Nothobranchius furzeri: one gene and its partner. The protein of the gene in region 1 binds, or shares a complex with, the protein of each later gene. Links are inferred from orthologs where the notes say so. Each region holds a gene or a part of one and is shown on either strand. Other genes may lie near its edges.

Region 1 (4,373 bases):
AGTTAAGGAGAAATTAAAATCTATCCCGACACATCCGCTTAACACGACGTCAACAACATTCTCAAGGTTTAGTTCTGCATTCAGATCGGCCATCTTTTGTTTTGTCCCGTGCTCCTCTCTGCTTTTACTCCCCCACAAGTGTCTTTCCTGCGCTCAGGCTTTACCGACACTCATAAAGCGATTCAAGCTCTGCTCTCACCATTCAGTCTCCTTGTCTCCAAGGTCCCCCAGCCACAGTTTCTCCTCAGACTGCTCCAGATACTCTTCTGCCCAGCGTCCAGGATCTGCAGCAGGAGAAGGAAAAACAGTGAGCAAAAAAAGACAGATTTGTCACGGATCTCATTATAAAACAGAGAGAACGAGTGCACGGAGTGAAACACAGACTCAAATTACCTGCAGCCTCAGCGATAAATTCTTTGGTCCAATCAGCATCTGCCGCCTCGCCGAGAGCATTCAGCCCCTGTGTGGCAGCAGAGTCGGGACCCGAGAGGAACTCGGCCGCCCAGTCACCCGAGAGGGCCAGTGCTGCTACATCTGGAGCTAAGACCAGGAAATGCTTCTTAAAACTGTTTTTGCATTATTAACACACGGGAACTTCTTAAAACTGGGACATAAAGCAGATAAGATAAAAGATTATACACATGAAATACCTCTCTGTGGAGCTTGTCTGTAGCTCTGCTGATCAATTTGCTGCATTTCTTCCAACAACTGACCCATGTCAAACGTGTGTGGGGGTCGCGGAGGCGCCTGAAGGAATTCATTTACCAACTAAAACATAAAAACACAAAAAAAGGCTAAAAGTGGCTATTTGAGAGATTACATCCAGAAATCAGAAACGTGGTAAGAATAATATTCTAATGCCTGACGAAAAACATCACCGACCTCTTCCTCTGTTGCAATTTCAATGGGTGTGGGGGGAATCTGAAAAAAGTTCAAATAAATAAATAAATGATGCAGCTAAACAAAAAAAAATTAAAATAAAATAAAAAAAAAGAAACACAACTCACTGTGGGTGTCAAGCGGTGCCGCCATGCTCCTTCTTCTTTGGTCATGTGACTGGTCAACTTCATGAGGGGATTGGCCCCCCCACATTCCGCCTCCACCAACTCCCGCATCGCCATGGCAACACAAGGATGAGGCAAAGCCAACCACACCACCTAGGACTACGAACAGAAGGAAATCTTCTACTGCTGCGTTTGTTTTAAACCTTCTCAATATAACAGTAACACCCCCATTGCTGTTAGTGCAGCACAGCTGGTTAATAATAACAGGAGATCTAACACCGTTACAAATGCTTGGTGACGCTTTCGTCCTCTTATCTGCTTAAGCAGATTTCTTTCAAATATTTTAAACAAGCTTGAACTAAATCATTGGCCAGTGTGAATCAAAAACATATTTTCCACAGCAGCTGGCTAGGTTGTCTGGACTGCAGATGCTTCTGTACCTACGCATAGTAAATCCCCAAGTGGTACCTTAACAGACACGTTCTGAACAAAGCACAATGAAAAGGAGGTTTATTTTTACTGCAGATTTGTTTTTAAACGTCCGAAGGACAACTCAAATAATTTTTGCTTTGATTTTACAGTGAATGGGTCAGAAAAGAGAAACCTGGAAGCTGCACAAGTGGCTTCACGTTGCATCGACGAGTTTAAACTCCCATCTGTCATTTTTTACATCACTTCCTGGCTTTTTCGAACCGTTACTAATGAGAAAGCAATGGCCTAGGAGGCACACAAATATCATCTGCTCCGTGCTTCCAGTAAGTTCGGCTCATTTTAGCAGCAACATTGTCGATGAGAGGAAAGGGCAACAATATTTGCAAAATAAAAATAACAGATTACAGTTATTTTATAGGAATTATTTGGTATAAGTAAATCATTTGTGTCACTCACCTGATCTGCCAAAATAAGAGTAACAGCACAATTTAAACATATATACAAACAATAGAACTACTGCTGATCACTGATCTCCATGCCCAAGAATGAACAGCTGACAAAAGGGTACATTTAGCCTACTCAAAATCTCCAACTCTCCCTGGAGGGATGTGAAACAATTTCCATAATGAAATGCGTGGAACAGATTTTTAATTCCACTCAGCTCTTATTTTGTATCTAAACCACCAAGTACAGCATTACACAACCCCGTCCATGCAGGTGGACGGAGTCGCTGCTCTCATGCAGAATGTGGACGTGAGTTTTCCTACTGAATCACACAGCTGCTGCATTATGATTAGGGTCAAAGTAAGAGGCTTAGACAAAGATATTAATACAGACATTATCACTGATAGGCCACTGTGACACATGTTTGTACACAACACATCTACTCAAGAGACATGCTGTAGTTTTAATACAGATGGCCCACTTTTGTGGAAAAAAACTGAAATCATAAAAAAGATGTTTTTGAATTGTGCACACCTGTCAGTCAGCGTTCAGATATCTAATGGCCCACGCGCTAACTAGCTAAAGACCCAGCAACAACATTAGCTTTGTTATCTCTTGTAGCCTCGTGTGGGCTCAATAAACAGCACATTAAAAAGAAGATGAAAACAATTAGCAACAATTTAGCTTTTAAAATAGATGTGCTAAGTGTTAGTTGGCAAGCTAGCAACCCAGGGCCAGTGCACAGGTCTCCACCCGGAGGAGGAGTGTGTTTACGGGGTAGCGTGATGTTCATCTCACCGCCGACAGCTCCTCCTGCTGTAGCCGAACAGTCGCTCCGCGCCGCTCTGTTTTCCGTCCTCGCCGGATCCTTTCTGGGCTAAAGCTGGGTCAGAACAAATCCTCCAGCACCGCCTCACAGCCTCCGCTGTGTGTTCGTAGTAGCGCCTCTTTTCTATTTACCTTCCTCCTCCATGACCCACAAAACCTTTCACCGAGCTGCAAGAGGCTCGTAATTCTACGTACTCTACGTAGTTGTATTCTTCAAATATTTACGAACGTGGAAGTCGGGCTTCTAAAGGCAAAAGAGCACGTACGTTTACGTAAAAATATGTGCAAGAGACTAAAGTCCAACAAAAGCAAGAGATGTTCCCTTCTGTGGAGTCTTTTATTTTAGGAAAACCTATCTTGTGTTTTTAGTTTAACTAATAATTTACTGACTAATTAGTCAGCCAATATAAAGAAAAGCCTCACAGGTTGTCTTTGCAGCTTGGGTGGAGTCAGAAATATCCAGGTGGAAAAAAATAAAGATCCTCAGTGCAGCTGACCAAAGAACCCAAGTCTTTCAACATTTGGGGAAAAGGATAGTTTGGGAAAGTCTCAAAGTATAAAGGTCAAACCTGCAAACCATCATTCAGGTATTTACGGTTTTCAAGTCCTCAGGCTTTTGAGCACGAAGACTCTTCATGTTACAGTGATCAGATCAGCCAAGTGTTCTTGGGGGCCCCTTGGAAAACCATTACCACTGCACAAAAGCCATGACTACATCCAGGAATGTAAAATTGCTGTGCAAAGAGGAAGCAATAAATCAACACTGTGTAGAAACAATGATGAGGTCTTGGGACACTAACTCATCTCAGATGGACAAAAAAACAGTGGATATGTTCTGTGGTCAGATGAGTTCACATTTTTGGTTGTTCTGGACAAATAAAAGAGATACTGAGCTCTGTATACAAAAAAGAACAACCGTCAAAGTTCTCATTAGGTAATAATAATTTTGCTCATTCATACTTTTGTAAACAAGAAACCTGCAGTTCAACAGCCTGATTTAACAAATTCTAGCTCCTAAATCTAACAGAAGCATGCACTAAACTGGAAAATACGCTCATATTATTAAAAAATGCAAAATATCTGTGGATTTTTGAATGAAAACACCATTATTATTATTATTAAAGGTCCAATATGTAAGAATGACAAATGGTGCAGTGGCTACCACCATTGCCTTGCAGCTACAAGGTCTTGGGTTCACATCCTGGCCTCAAATAGTTTGCGTGTTCTTCCTGTGCACACATGGGTTCTCTTGGTTAATTGGTCTGTCTAAATTGTTCTTAGGTGTGAGTAATAATAATAATAATAATACATTTTATTTAAAAGCACCTTTCAGGACACCCAAGGTCACTTTACACAAAACACGTAATAAAATACAATAAAACAATAATAAAACCCAAAGAAGAAAAAACAGAGAGAAACATTTCAATAAAATCAGAGGTTGTAGGCAGATTTAAACATGTGTGTTTTGAGTTTTGTTTTGAAAAGGGTAAAACTGTCAACGTTCCTGATGTCTGGGGGAAGTGAGTTCCAGAGTCGAGGAGCAGAGCGGCTGAAAGCTCTGCTCCCCATGGTAGCGAGACGGGCAGAAGGAACCGCAAGATGGATGGAAGAAGAAGATCTGAGTGAACGGGACGGGGTGTGAATACTTATAAGGTCTGAGATATA
Region 2 (4,300 bases), on another chromosome or scaffold:
CAAAAAATAACCTTGGTCCTCTACTATCGTCCCATCATGCTCTAGGACCACTGTGACTGGGTCACTGGGGCTGAACCCGAGAAACTCACATCCTGGAGGAAAAACACAAATACTTTTAAACTTGGAGATCTCTTTACTTTTATATAAAGATCCGACAAAAACCGGATGAACAATCATTTAGGTCAAAAGTCAAGTCACATCTTACATTTCATTTTTCTTTTTGAGTGGTTTGATATTTAAATATTTCATACATACAGCTTTAGCAGGTGTCGGCAAATATTTAATGATATGATAGAAAGAGGCTGCGTGTTTGCAGTGAAGGTGACTGTAATCCCAGGAATGTGCAAGCTCAGAAACGTGTGCAGCTGCAGGTTTGAACATGATGGAATCTGAACTGTTTCTGTACATAATCCGTTCATGATTATCAGAGGCATGCGGTAAAACCCACCAAGGTCTCACTTTTGGTTTACAGCAGTCGTGTTTCTTTCGTTTTCACTGTTTTGAGTTTGTAGTAGCAAGCTGAGCTCAGATGGGCAAAATGGGTCACCGAAACTAAACGAAAACATACAAAATCGGAGTTTTCTGTCAAAGAATATAAAGAAAAGCCATGTCAACACACCTTTTTTCTTTAGCTCATCCAACGAAGGAACAGCAACGCCATATGATGTCTGTCGTGTGAAATTGCACACTTTGCACGCTTTCCCATCTGTCATTATATTAATTTAACTACACTATCTTCAATTACTTTGAGAAGCCACGGTGCTAAAGCACTTCACTTTTCACTTCTTCTTGAACCGCCAGTGAAGCGCTATGCCTGCTGGGATATGTAGTTTTAATACCACAAGCGGATAAACGATAGATGCGCGTTCTGGTTTTTATTATTATTTAAGAGGGGGAACTACTGGCCACGTGTACAATTAAAATCAAATAAACCTGAAAAAGAATAATAAAAAAATTAATTAATGTGAAATGGCTGATGCTAAACTGTCTGCAAAAGCACGCATAGGGTATGCGTGTCTCAGATTTAGAAAATCAACTATTTGTGACTGACAATTGGGGATGCAGTTTCATTTCAAGAGCCCAAAATCATGGCCCCAAAAGTGGGAATCATAACAACCATTTTTATTTATTTATTTGTTTGTTTATGTATTTAGTTTGCACGGTAAATGTAATTGTATGTTCAATTTGTGTAAGACAGTCTATTTTTAAAAGTGCAGCACTAAAATAAAAAATCAAATGTTACCCAGCCAGCTGCTCCTTAACCGATTACTTTTTGTTGGTTTTGTTTACACAGAAAGTTGTCTCTGTGATCAATGATCAGTGTTTCAGGAAAAGCAATCGAACACGAGTCAGTCCTCCTGTACTGTAAATAAATGGACAGAAAGATGGCGTCCACCGAGCAACCTGATCCACCAACACAGGTCCTTCTGTACCTCTAAGACTTATTCGTGGCCAGATAAAGCTACTGACTGTGTGGCTGTATTTTTGTAGTCTGTTGCTTTTAAATGTCTACATTTCATGAATTTATTCAAGAATTGCTCAGCTAATAGATTGTAGCGTGCTTGCTAGTTAGCATGCTAACTATGTTAGGTTTAAAAAGTTGCATCTCTCGCACGTTTTTATCAAGAAGCGGACACCAAGGGGTATAGGGTTTGACTACACGTTTTTACAAACATTGTGGCGTGTTTAATTTGCAGATTAGTTATTTATCTTGATCAAATGTTGCGTAGTGTTTCCACTTGTCTCCTGTCATCTTGTCATGGCATGTTGACATGTGTAAAGGTCACTCTTTCGGGATGCATCTGTTTTTTGCAAACCCACTCTTGACTTGAATGGCCGGACAAACGACCATTACAATGTTTGGTATAGATGGAATCTTGCAGCTCATCTAATCAGACCACAATTCATTTGTCGTTACAGTTACAGGACTATTTGAGAAAGCAAATGTTACCCATGGCATATAAAACGGAGCATTGTGTTCTGTCTAAACTAGGTTAATAAGTAGAAAGTGACAGATGTCTTGGTGTGCGTTGGTCTCAGATTTCAAACTTATACGTCATATACAGTTAATGATGCAACATGAAATTATGTTGTTTATGCAGTTTTTGTATTGTTTACATTAAAATAATACATGTTTAATTTGCTCTGATTATTTTAATTAATTTGTAACCTAAAAACACCTAAAACATTCTTTCCAAACCGAAGGTTAATAGCTGTTTGGAGGGGTGCACCGGTCTATCGGCCCCGATCTCGGGTTTTCTTTTTCAAGATTGGTGATCGGCTAAAAACTGCAATCGGTGCACCCCTAGTTAATCCATCCGTCCATTTTTGTTACCCACTTATCCACACAGGGTCGTGGGGGACTGGTGCCCCTAGTTAATGTTAAAGCAAATAATTGCTATAGAATTTTTTTTAAAGTGTGTCAAAGCAGGTACAAAAGTTTTGTTTTCAAAGTTAGAAAAATGAAAGTCTAAAGGAACAAATATGATTTTGAAATTCAACAGCAATGCTAAATATGTTCATTTATATTTGAGAACATGACTTCATGTCCAGTTAAAACTGGTATTGTTTCACAAGTATTCATATTGATTTTGTCAATAAAAGGAAAATGAAGCATTGACATAATCTGCTTTTAGTTAAGACAAAATCAGTATTGGCAAAAAATCGGTATCGGTAAGTCAGGTTTTTTCAAGATTGGTAATCGGCCAAAAACTGCAATCGGTGCACCCCTAATTGTTTGGAAAGGACGTCACACATTATCTGTTCTGAAGTTTCTCATATGTCATCCCAAACTAGTCGATAAACATCTTGACATGAGATGTGCTGTAGTAATGTTTTATTTATTTTTTATTATGTCACCATCTGGGTAAGTTTATGTACTTAGCTCTGTTTTTATTTTAGTTATATTTTTTATGAAACTCATACTTTTTTAAAATGTTGTCTCACCAGTGGCTATCTTGCTTAAAAAATGCAACAAACATTTGATTTAGCCAGATGTGCTGTCCCTGATATCTGGTTGACTTGTTATATTTGCATTGTGAGCTTGGTTGCACACTGTTGTACACAAAGCTGTCTTTTAATGTAAATGTTACACTTGAAGTAAATTCCAGACCTATTAATAGCGCTTTCTAAGCAACTGAATGATATACTGCTTGAAACAATCATGTAGATTTTCCAGTATCATTAAAACTTCTGAAAAACAAATTTAGATGAAAAATGTTTCCATAACACCTTTTCCACTTTTGATGTAGCTGTCTTCAAAAAGACTTAAAATGATTAAAAATTGAATAGGATTTGTATCATATGCAAGATGAATCACATCTCATGTTTATGGGTTAATTCAATCAGAAAACAACTTAAAGAATTATTTTTACTGTAAATCCCAGTTTCCAAAACTTTTTTTAACTTTTTGCATTCAGCGTGATTTTTTTTTTGTGTGCAGTTACAGATTTTTCTAATTCTTCTGCTAAAGTGTTAGAATTTGTTGTAAGGGTAACTTGTAAACCAACACTACCTTTATCCTCCAACAGATGGCTCTATCACACTACTGATTTCTTATTATTTCATCTTTGCAGGCTGGCCTTCTGCCTTTAGAAGGAACCGCTCAACCCAGAGAGGCACTGGTAGGTGTCAGAATTTACTTCACATTTTAATTTAAAATGGGATGGATTTAAAAAGAAAACAGCAAATTAAATCAATGCAGTTTGAGTTTAGAATAAGCAGAATCAAACAACCTTCTCATTTAATGACATTTTTTGTGTTGACACTCTGATCCTTATAAAGGTTCAGATTTTGATGATTGATTAATGCAATTTTTGGTAATCTGAAAGTTTCTGTGGTCATATTTAATTTCACTGATTTGCTTGAATGTTTACTCGTAAAATCAGTGAAGCTTTACTCTTAAGTTATTTTGTTAACTGTGTGTTTTTATTTGGATAATTTGATTGTGTAACAATTCCTCCCAGGAGAACTATAAAAAGCTTCCAATTAACACTTTAGTATCACATTAATATCCCTGTGTTGTGATTGGAGCAGATCATGAACAACTTTGACTGAAAATTTTTGTTTTCTGATTAAATGGGTTATTTTTTCCCCTCAAATGTTGGTTAGTTTAATGACTTTGTTTGCAGATAGGACAGAATGGTTCTGAACAAATATCCTTAATAGATTGTTTCTTCTTAGAAAGAAGTCAAGTAGTACCGTAAACACTACGATGATGTCATCTAACAGCAATCGGCATCAGTTGCTGTTTGTACTACTTGTTTAAAAGGAAGTGTTTAGTTGTTGCTAAATGTGATGG

Evidence for each region.
Region 2: the proteins of pex5 (region 1) and pex14 are in contact, whole or in part, in an NMR structure (PDB 4BXU), measured with the Homo sapiens proteins. The link is inferred for Nothobranchius furzeri from reciprocal best matches to the Homo sapiens genes PEX5 and PEX14. Residues at the interface, in NP_001124497.1 of Homo sapiens: Glu59, Leu62, Val63, Glu65, Phe66, Leu67, Gln70; in NP_004556.1 of Homo sapiens: Thr31, Phe35, Asn38, Arg40, Val41, Ser44, Pro45, Thr48, Arg49, Phe52, Lys55, Lys56.

What each region holds. Positions count from the first base shown.
Region 1 is NC_091745.1:74,164,804-74,169,176, reverse strand, and holds the start of pex5 (peroxisomal biogenesis factor 5), read right to left. Parts: upstream 2,884-4,373; 5' UTR 2,679-2,883; intron 1,164-2,678; 5' UTR 1,122-1,163; coding exon 1,008-1,121; intron 922-1,007; coding exon 883-921; intron 769-882; coding exon 651-768; intron 541-650; coding exon 394-540; intron 285-393; coding exon 200-284; intron 1-199.
Region 2 is NC_091755.1:29,721,921-29,726,220, reverse strand, and holds the start of pex14 (peroxisomal membrane protein PEX14), read left to right. Parts: upstream 1-1,326; 5' UTR 1,327-1,373; coding exon 1,374-1,421; intron 1,422-3,575; coding exon 3,576-3,623; intron 3,624-4,300. Other genes in the region: dffa (DNA fragmentation factor subunit alpha), read right to left, coding at 1-92, 620-713. UniProt on the Homo sapiens protein: Component of the PEX13-PEX14 docking complex, a translocon channel that specifically mediates the import of peroxisomal cargo proteins bound to PEX5 receptor.